Oryctolagus cuniculus: one gene and its partner. The protein of the gene in region 1 interacts with the protein of each later gene in a biochemical or structural test. Links are inferred from orthologs where the notes say so. Each region holds a gene or a part of one and is shown on either strand. Other genes may lie near its edges.

Region 1 (3,801 bases):
GAGCTCCTCTCGCCTGCCTGGCCTCTGAAGGGAAGGAGGAGGAGGAGGAGGAAGGTCACTGCTCCCAGAGTGGAGCTCTGGGCCCTGGCCTGCCGGCCAGTCTGCTGCCCCAAAGCCAGGACCACTTGCTGTCTGGCCCTGGGCCAGTTGCTGGGGAGCGAGCCCTGTCTCCAGCAAATATGAATGACACCCCCGAACCACCGACCCCGGCAGCCTCACGGGCTCCCTCCCAGGGTTCCGAGAAGCCCTTCTGGGTGCGTGAGCCTCAGCTGGGGAGGCTGTCAGGGGCGGGCCCCAGGTCACAGCTCGTGTGAAAGTGCCGTGGACCTGTGTGTGTGTGTGTGCGTGTGTGACAGAGAGCGAAAGCAGCAAGCACCGGGAGGCCGGCCGTGAGTGTGTCATGGAATCCGGGAGCTGCCAAACCATTGTGCTGCAGTGGAGCCAGGGGAAAGGGGTGGGCTGGGGCGCAGCTGGGGAAGGAAGGATGAATCAGGACGGGGTGTGTGTGTGTGTGTGTGCGCGCGCGCGCGCCCAGGAGTCAGAGCCCCAGGCCCAGGGCCAGGCAGACCCCCATTCGCCCTTCCTGGCAGGTGGGGCTCGGGTGGGGGATGCCGGAGTTCCCCAGGCCCTTGGTCTCCTGGCACCCCCCACCCCCCACACCAAGATCTGGAGGAGGGGGAGAAGAAAGGATGTCTAAGGGGGAGCCTCATGCCCCACCCTCTCCCATCTCCCAGGCAACATCAGTAAACAAGCCGAGCTTTCTGCCCCCTCCCAGCCTCCTAGAAGCAGGCTCCAGGCTTTGTCCCTTACAAATGAGCTGGTTCCAGAGAGCCACACGGGCCCCACCCACTCCTGGAGGTTACCCTCTGGCTGTTAGAGGGGAGTGAGGTCCACTAATCTCTGGGGAACCTTCCTCAAGGTTCCCCAAAAGGAGGTCCCACTGGCCCCCAGCACTTGAGAACGTCACTTCTAAGCCTCCTCCCAGAACCGCTTTGCTCCAAAAGCCCTTTCTGGGTGAAACAGGCCAGATCTGCCCGGTCTTCCCCATTGCAGTTTTCACAGTATTCATTCAACCAGTATTTGCTGAGACTCTACCAAGTTCTGGGCTCCCAGCGTAGAAACAGAAAACCCAATTTCTAGAGCAAAAGAAGCCAGAACAACCCAGAACAGTGTATTCTCTACGATTACACTCAGATCCAGCTCTAGCAAATGGGAACCAATGTATTGCCACAGAGAGCAAGACCAGTTGTTGCCTGGGGAGGGGGTTCCAGAACAGGCAGGAGGGAAGGAGGGAGGGATTATAAAGGGGTGTGTCCAGGAAACCATGGAGGGTGACGGATGGGTTTATAACTCTCAGTTATGGTGACGGCTTCATGGGTATGCCCATTGTCAAAGCTGATCGAATTATACTCGAATTTGTGAGGTTTGTTGTATGTCATAGATACCTCGATAAAGTAGCCACACCGAACCAGAAGGGACAAACACACACAGATAACTGCCTAGGTAGGAGCCAGCCTCAGGTGCCAGAGAGGAGGTGATGGGACCTGCTGTGGGGTCAGAGAGAGAAGGAGCTTTGTTCTCCAGGTGGGGAGCGTATGTGCAGGCCGCCTCGGGGGTCGGGTGGGTGAGGGCTGGGTGGAGCGGGAGGCCCTCCTGAGCCCGCCCGGTGTCCCCTGTGCTCTGCAGACAGCAAGGCCATCGTGGATGGGAACTTGAAGCTCATCCTGGGGCTGATCTGGACCCTGATCCTGCACTACTCCATCTCCATGCCCATGTGGGAGGATGAGGACGACGAGGATGCCCGCAAACAGACGCCCAAGCAGCGCCTCCTGGGCTGGATCCAGAACAAGGTGCCCCAGCTGCCCATCACCAACTTCAACCGGGACTGGCAGGACGGCAAAGCTCTTGGTGCCCTGGTGGACAACTGTGCTCCTGGTGAGTGGGCCAACACACGGGTGTGCTCAGGCCCAGGGCAGCACCTGGGGTCAGGACCTCCTGTGGGGCTTGCCCCTCTTCTGGCTGAGAATGACTGCCTGAAGGCTAGGCCAGCTTTGGCAGCGACAGGCAAGGTCTAGGATGCCTCAGTTTCTAGATAAGCACAGTGAAGTCCAAGGGGGACCAGTGCCGTGCTTACCTGTGGCAGAACCGCACCTGGAGCCCAGGGCCTTGCCTGCTTACTCCATGGACTTGTGCTTTGCCTCCCAGGCACCATTTGTCCCAGGCAGGATAGGTAGCAGGACAGCCAGGAGGTGGACTCCAGGAAGGTTGTGTGTGGTGAGACCCCGGGGCAGCTTTGGGAAGAGACTGGGCTCAGGATGATGTGGGCTGAGGTTGGTGTAACCCAGCCCTGCCCTTTCTGGCTGTAGGCCATGACCTGGTCCTGCGGGGCAGACTTGGGCCCTGAGAAAACTAAGGCAGCACAGGCAAGAGCCCCCCTGCGCCCCCTACACCCCCCGAGCCCTTTCTGACCTCATCTCCTGAGCGTTCCTCATCTCTCCTTCCTCGCTGGGATGGGCAGCCCCACCTCCAGGGAGCCACAGCCCCTCAGGGGAATCCTCCCCCACCCAGGGGTCAGCCGGGGAGCAGGGCCTGGGAGGGGGGGCCCACTGCCTGGGAAGCATTCCCAGCTGCTGAACCGGTGCCCACAGCCGGCATGGCTGCCAGCGGTGAGCTCAGCTGTTCCAGCCGGTCACGGATTCCAGCCTTTCCGCCGCCCCCTCCCCATCAGCGCACATCGCCCCCTCCAGCGATGGCCCTAGCAAGCGCCCCCCAGCCCCGCACCCCTTGACCGGAGGCCTCGGGCCGTCTCCCTTTCTTCCTGAGGCTGGGCTCTCGATGGCCATGGTGGAGAATGCATATTCTCCCAGCAGGCCCCTCGATGCCTCAGTTTCCCCAAGCAGGCACTTAGGGCAAGGGAGCCTTAGTCCCAAGGCCTGGCATGGGAAGTGCTTAGGGCTCTGGAACCCAGGGTAGCTGTGAGGACACCTGGTAGTCAGAGACAGAGGTGGGACAGAGACTCTGACCTCTGCTTACCCTTGAGGCATCTTAAATGAGGCCAGAGGGGCCTGGGATGGGGGGACACCCTCATGGGGTTTCCAGTGTTTAGGGGTCTGTGCTGGGCCCTGGGCAGGCAGGAGGCCGGCTGGCGGGGCTGGTGCCAGCCTGCATCAGCTGGGGCAGAAAGACCTCATTGTTGGTAGGGAGGGCTGCAGTGCCTCTGCACAGTGATGGGTAGCTCAGCGGGTGGCCACAGCCCCGAGAACCTGGCCCGTCAGGAGCTGAGAGCCGGGTGGGAAGGCGTGCGAGCCCCTCGGCTGCTGGGGACACCGGGGGAGCGGATGCTCTGAGTTCTGGCTGCCCAGTTTCCCCTGACCACCCTCTCCCTCCATATCTCTCCAGGCCTCTGCCCCGACTGGGAGGCTTGGGACCCCAACCAGCCCGTGCAGAACGCCCGGGAGGCCATGCAGCAGGCGGACGACTGGCTCGGAGTGCCCCAGGTACACTCGCAGATGGGGTGCGGGGGGGTGCAGGAGGGGTGGGGGGGAGGTCAGCTCTCCAAGGAAACCGGGCTAGGGTGCCGGTTAGGAAGGCGCCTCATATGTACCAGCTGTCCTCCCGTGACAGGTCATTGCACCCGAGGAGATCGTGGACCCCAACGTGGACGAGCATTCGGTCATGACCTACCTGTCCCAGTTCCCCAAGGCCAAGCTCAAACCTGGAGCCCCTGTCCGCTCCAAGCAGCTGAACCCCAAGAAGGCCTTCGCCTATGGGCCTGGTATGTGCCGAGCCCCTGCCAGCCCT
Region 2 (4,277 bases), on another chromosome or scaffold:
GTCTTGCAGGCCAGCTCTCTGCTGTGGCCCGGGAGTGCAGTGGAGGATGGCCCAAGTGCTTGGGCCCTGCACCCCATGGGAGACCAGGAGAAGCACCTGGCTCCTGCCTTCGGATCAGCGTGGTGCGCCAGCCGCGGCGGCCATTGGAGGGTGAACCAACGGCAAAGGAAGCCCTTTCTCTCTGTCTCTCTCTCTCACTGTCCACTCTGCCTGTCGAAAGACAGAAAGACAGAAAGACAGAAAGACAGAAAGACAGAAAGACAGAAAGAAAGAAAGAGGTGGGGAGAGCAGGGAGCCGGGGCTCCCACATGTCCCAGCCACCGCCGCCACCTGACTGCTACTGACTGCACGGAAAAAGTGAGCCATGCCTAAGTGTCACCCCCGACACTGAAGGAAGACTGTGCCTGCCAGGTGACAGAGGGCACCTGCTAACCCTTAGACACGGAGCTGGGGCCAGGCCTCCCATCCGGGACAAAAGCCCCTGTCACGTGCGCTGTGCGTGGCCCTCTGATGTCCTCACCAGCCTGGACTGAGTACGGGGACCTTGAGCCTGCCAGGCCCCTCGGGCTCCGGGCAGCAAGGAGCTGCCCCCTCCCCCCCACGCACACTCCGTCCATGACTCGGAAGCGGATGACTCGAGGGTCAGAAATAACCCCACCGTCAGCCCCCGAATGCCACCCCTCCCCTCCCCTCCATTCCCAGAAAGTCTGGGCCGTGAGTCAGAGAGAACAGTCCAGAAGGAGACAAGGCCACAGATCCACTCCATGGAGTTCTCGGATAGATCGGGGGCCTGGGCATCGCCACGTGCTTCCTGCAGGCCATGCTGGACCCAGGGCTGCAAGGAGCTGAGCCGTGGGGCCCACGGAGGAGTGGGGGAGAGAAGATTTGGGGCACAAGGGAACGGGAGAACAAGAGCCGAGCCCCACTCAGGGGGTGACAGAGGGTGATGCCCCCTTGCGGGGTCTCGGGTCTCCCAGCACAGCGGGCACTCAAGTCAGCAGGAGGCAAAGGCCAGTCCAGAGAGGACAATGGAGACACAGCATTAGGGACCGAGGCTGCCCAGGTCCGACGGCCCTCCTTATTCACTCCCTCAAAATAGTCCGGGGCGCTCCCCACCCCACTGCAGGCTGAGTCACTGACCCCTTCCCCGGGGAAGACCGGGGATGAATGAAGCTCCCCTTCTCCTCCCCTGCCCGAAGGACATGTAACTGACTCCCCGGGATGCAAGAGTGACTTCCACAGCCCTAAAAATAACCGAACCACTTAATGCTCTGAACATAGCCCGCCCGCCCCACCCTGGCCCACCCCCAGCCAGCGAGATAAAGGCAGCTGCCGGGGCTGCCAGGGGACACAGACCCAGAGCCAGGGCTGCAAGAAGGCACCTGACGGCGGAGCCCACGGAGCAGAACCAGCCCCCGGCCAAGAAGCTCAAGAGCAACGGCAGACCCCCGGGCCACCCTGCGACAGTCCCCACGCCCCCCACCAGCCAAACAGGACCCTCGGTGAGTAAGCTGCCCGCTCTGTCCTTCCATGGCAGGACCAGCTACCAGATGGCAATCCCGTGTGGATCCTGCGGGATAGGGTTAGAGGGGTGGCTCGGGTGGGGGGGGGCACATATGGGCAGTAGGTGTAGGGCAGCGGATGAGTCTCTGATCAGGCTGTGCCCACCTGGGCCTGGCGTGAACCCTCTGAGTGGCCGCCGCGGGCCCAGGCCAGCAGAAGAAATAGGTCCTCACCAGCCAGGCACAGTCCACAAATGCTTTTCAGGAGCCCCTCCGAGACTCCCTCGCAGGAAGGTGCCAGGCGGGCCCAGGGTCTGGAGGAACCAGCGACAGAGAGGAAGAGGGCGTGGGCCACAGGGCCCAGCAAGTGGGCCCAGCGTGCAGGGCTGAGACAAGCCCTGTGCCAGCTGTCGTGGGTCAAAGTCCTAGCATATTTGGCCCCAGGGATAACTCCCTGGGCTGGACTGAGCCCAGCAACCCCCGGATGTGGCCGAGAGCCTGGGCGTGATGACCGCCCCAAGCCAGCGTCTTGCCCAGTGCTAAAGCCCTGGGGGCCGAGCTGCGGGCTCGAGGCAGGGCCAGGGACTAGTTCTGAGTCTGCCCAGAAGTAAAGCTATCCGGGGCCGGCTGGGCGGAGGAGGAAGCCTGGGGCAGAGATGGGTGGTTCTGAGAGCCCAGCCGAGCCCTGGCAGCCCATTCCCTGGGATAGCTCTTGGGATCGACCTCACCCTAAGTCTTGTCCCAAATCTGAATTCCACCCTCACCCTTCCCCTGCCCTAGGAACCTCAGGCCAGACAAAGGTGCAGGAGATGAGGGGCAGGAAGCTGCCTCTGCCTTCCTGAGCCCCCACAGACAGCTCCTTGCCCCTCCAGGGACCTGTTTCCCTCTCTGAGTCGAGTCAGTGACCTCTGAGGTTCCCTCGGTGTGACTCCCTCCCCTGCATTCTGGGGATTCCTGGGGGTGGGGGCGGGGTGGAGCTGGTGGCTGCTCGGGCCACACTGGAGTGACAGGAAGGGGCAGGTCTGCCTTGGGCAGACACTGAGGTGGGACTGTAGCTGCAGGTCCCAGAGCTCACGCTCCCCAGGGGCTCCCACACCTCTGCTGGACACGGCTGGCCGGCTGGGCAAGTGGTCAGCTTCCCCTCTCCTCTTTCCGAGACAGCCATAGAAGGAGCTCCCGCCCCCACCTGCTGCCAGTGTCCCTGCACCTGCTCCACCTGCGAGTCCCTTTCACCACGGGAAGGTCACTACTTGACTCGCAAGCCAATGGCCTGGCACCCACTCAGGAGGCAGGATTGGGGAGACCAGGATGACAAAGAGGATTGGCTGAACCACGAGCAGCCCAGGTCCCCACTGGCTGAGCCCTGGGCTGCTGTTCTGAGGCCAGGACCTCAGCTATATTTAGCACCAAGTGTAGAACGGAGCAGTGGGTCAGGGTCAGTGGGGGAGGCGGTTGGGGGGGGGCGGTGAACATTCTTTCCCTAATGGCCTCTGGGAACTATCAAGACACCTGTCACAGGACTGATAAGACAGACGTGGGATGGAGAGCAGGGGAGGGTTTGAGGGCCGAGGGGTAGAACTAGGGAGAGGCCACGTCCTGGTGGAAGCTGATTCACGTGGGAAGAAAGGAAGCGGAGGACCAGGAGCCAGGTGCAGGCCCAGTGATGATGGAGGCCTGCAGGAAGAGGTCTCAGCTGAGCCCTTAGAATGCTGCCTGTTTGTACGTGGCTGGGGAGGGGTCTCCACGCGCCAGGGGTGGGGCCTTGGGCCCCCACCCCTCGGGTGTCACCTTCACATTTTCCTGGGAGAACCTGCTGGGGGACAGAGGGGCACCACGCCAGTTAGAAAGTTTCCCACCTCCCACCTTCTTTTTGGGGACCAGTTCCTAATCGGGTCTAGGGACCCTGAGCCGGCAGTACCTGTCACTCACTCACTAGGATCCGACTCTGGGCCCCAGTTTCCCCAACTGTAATTACAAAGGGTCCTGGTTAGCCCCCATAAGCCCAGATCGTCTGAGTCATGGGAGTACAGCACAAAAACCCTAACCTGGGATTCAGAATTTGGCTCTGTCTGACCACAGGACATCTGGTGAGCAATCCCCTTCTCTGGGCCTCCACTGCTTCCGCTGTGGCGTGGGCTGCCGCCTCCCGGAGTCTGGGAAAGGTTGGAGGGAGTTGTGAGCCAAGGTTGGGCAGAGTTCCCGGTCCAAGAGGCAAGTGCGCCCTCTGGTGTTCTGCCAGGGGAATTTCACCTCTGTGGGGGAAGCCCAAACCTCAGTTTAGGGAACTCCCTCTTCATGACTAAGACTCTTTAAGTCAGTATTCCCCGGGGCCACTTCCTTGGGAATCTACCAGGGAAAACTGAGTTTGCCAAAGGGGAGGATGAGACATATTCGGTTTTCCCGCCGGAGGCCTGGACATCCTTTGTGGGGTTGAAGGAACTAGCTTTGTGGCCAGCAGTGCTCCCTAGCAATCCAGGTGACCCCAGGGAAGTAGAATCCCACCTGGATGGATGGGTCCACAGGTCTGACTTCAAGATCTGTTGCCCACCAACCATACAGGTGGCAAAGTGAGGTACAGGCCCAGCTGACCTGGCGAGGGAGTCTCTAAGCTGCTCCTGGGCCCTGTCCCCTGCCACTTGTCCCCAACCCGAGTCTCACTTCTGCCCCCTTCTCCCCAGAAGGATGGCCGACGCCCAGACCCAGCTGGCTCCCTCCCCAGTCATCCCCACGGCGACGGCACAGGACCTGCCCCTCCCCCCGCCCCCAGCCCCGGAG

What was found.
Region 2: the proteins of FLNC (region 1) and XIRP1 form a complex in vitro, tested with the Homo sapiens proteins (2 studies listed by BioGRID and IntAct, with this or other methods). The link is inferred for Oryctolagus cuniculus from reciprocal best matches to the Homo sapiens genes FLNC and XIRP1.

The regions. Positions count from the first base shown.
Region 1 is NC_091434.1:165,030,078-165,033,878, forward strand, and holds part of FLNC (filamin-C), read left to right. Parts: intron 1-1,686; coding exon 1,687-1,935; intron 1,936-3,399; coding exon 3,400-3,497; intron 3,498-3,624; coding exon 3,625-3,775; intron 3,776-3,801.
Region 2 is NC_091441.1:108,152,355-108,156,631, forward strand, and holds the start of XIRP1 (xin actin-binding repeat-containing protein 1), read left to right. Parts: upstream 1-1,342; 5' UTR 1,343-1,502; intron 1,503-4,180; 5' UTR 4,181-4,184; coding exon 4,185-4,277. UniProt on the Homo sapiens protein: Protects actin filaments from depolymerization. Required for correct cardiac intercalated disk ultrastructure via maintenance of cell-cell adhesion stability, and as a result maintains cardiac organ morphology, conductance and heart beat rhythm.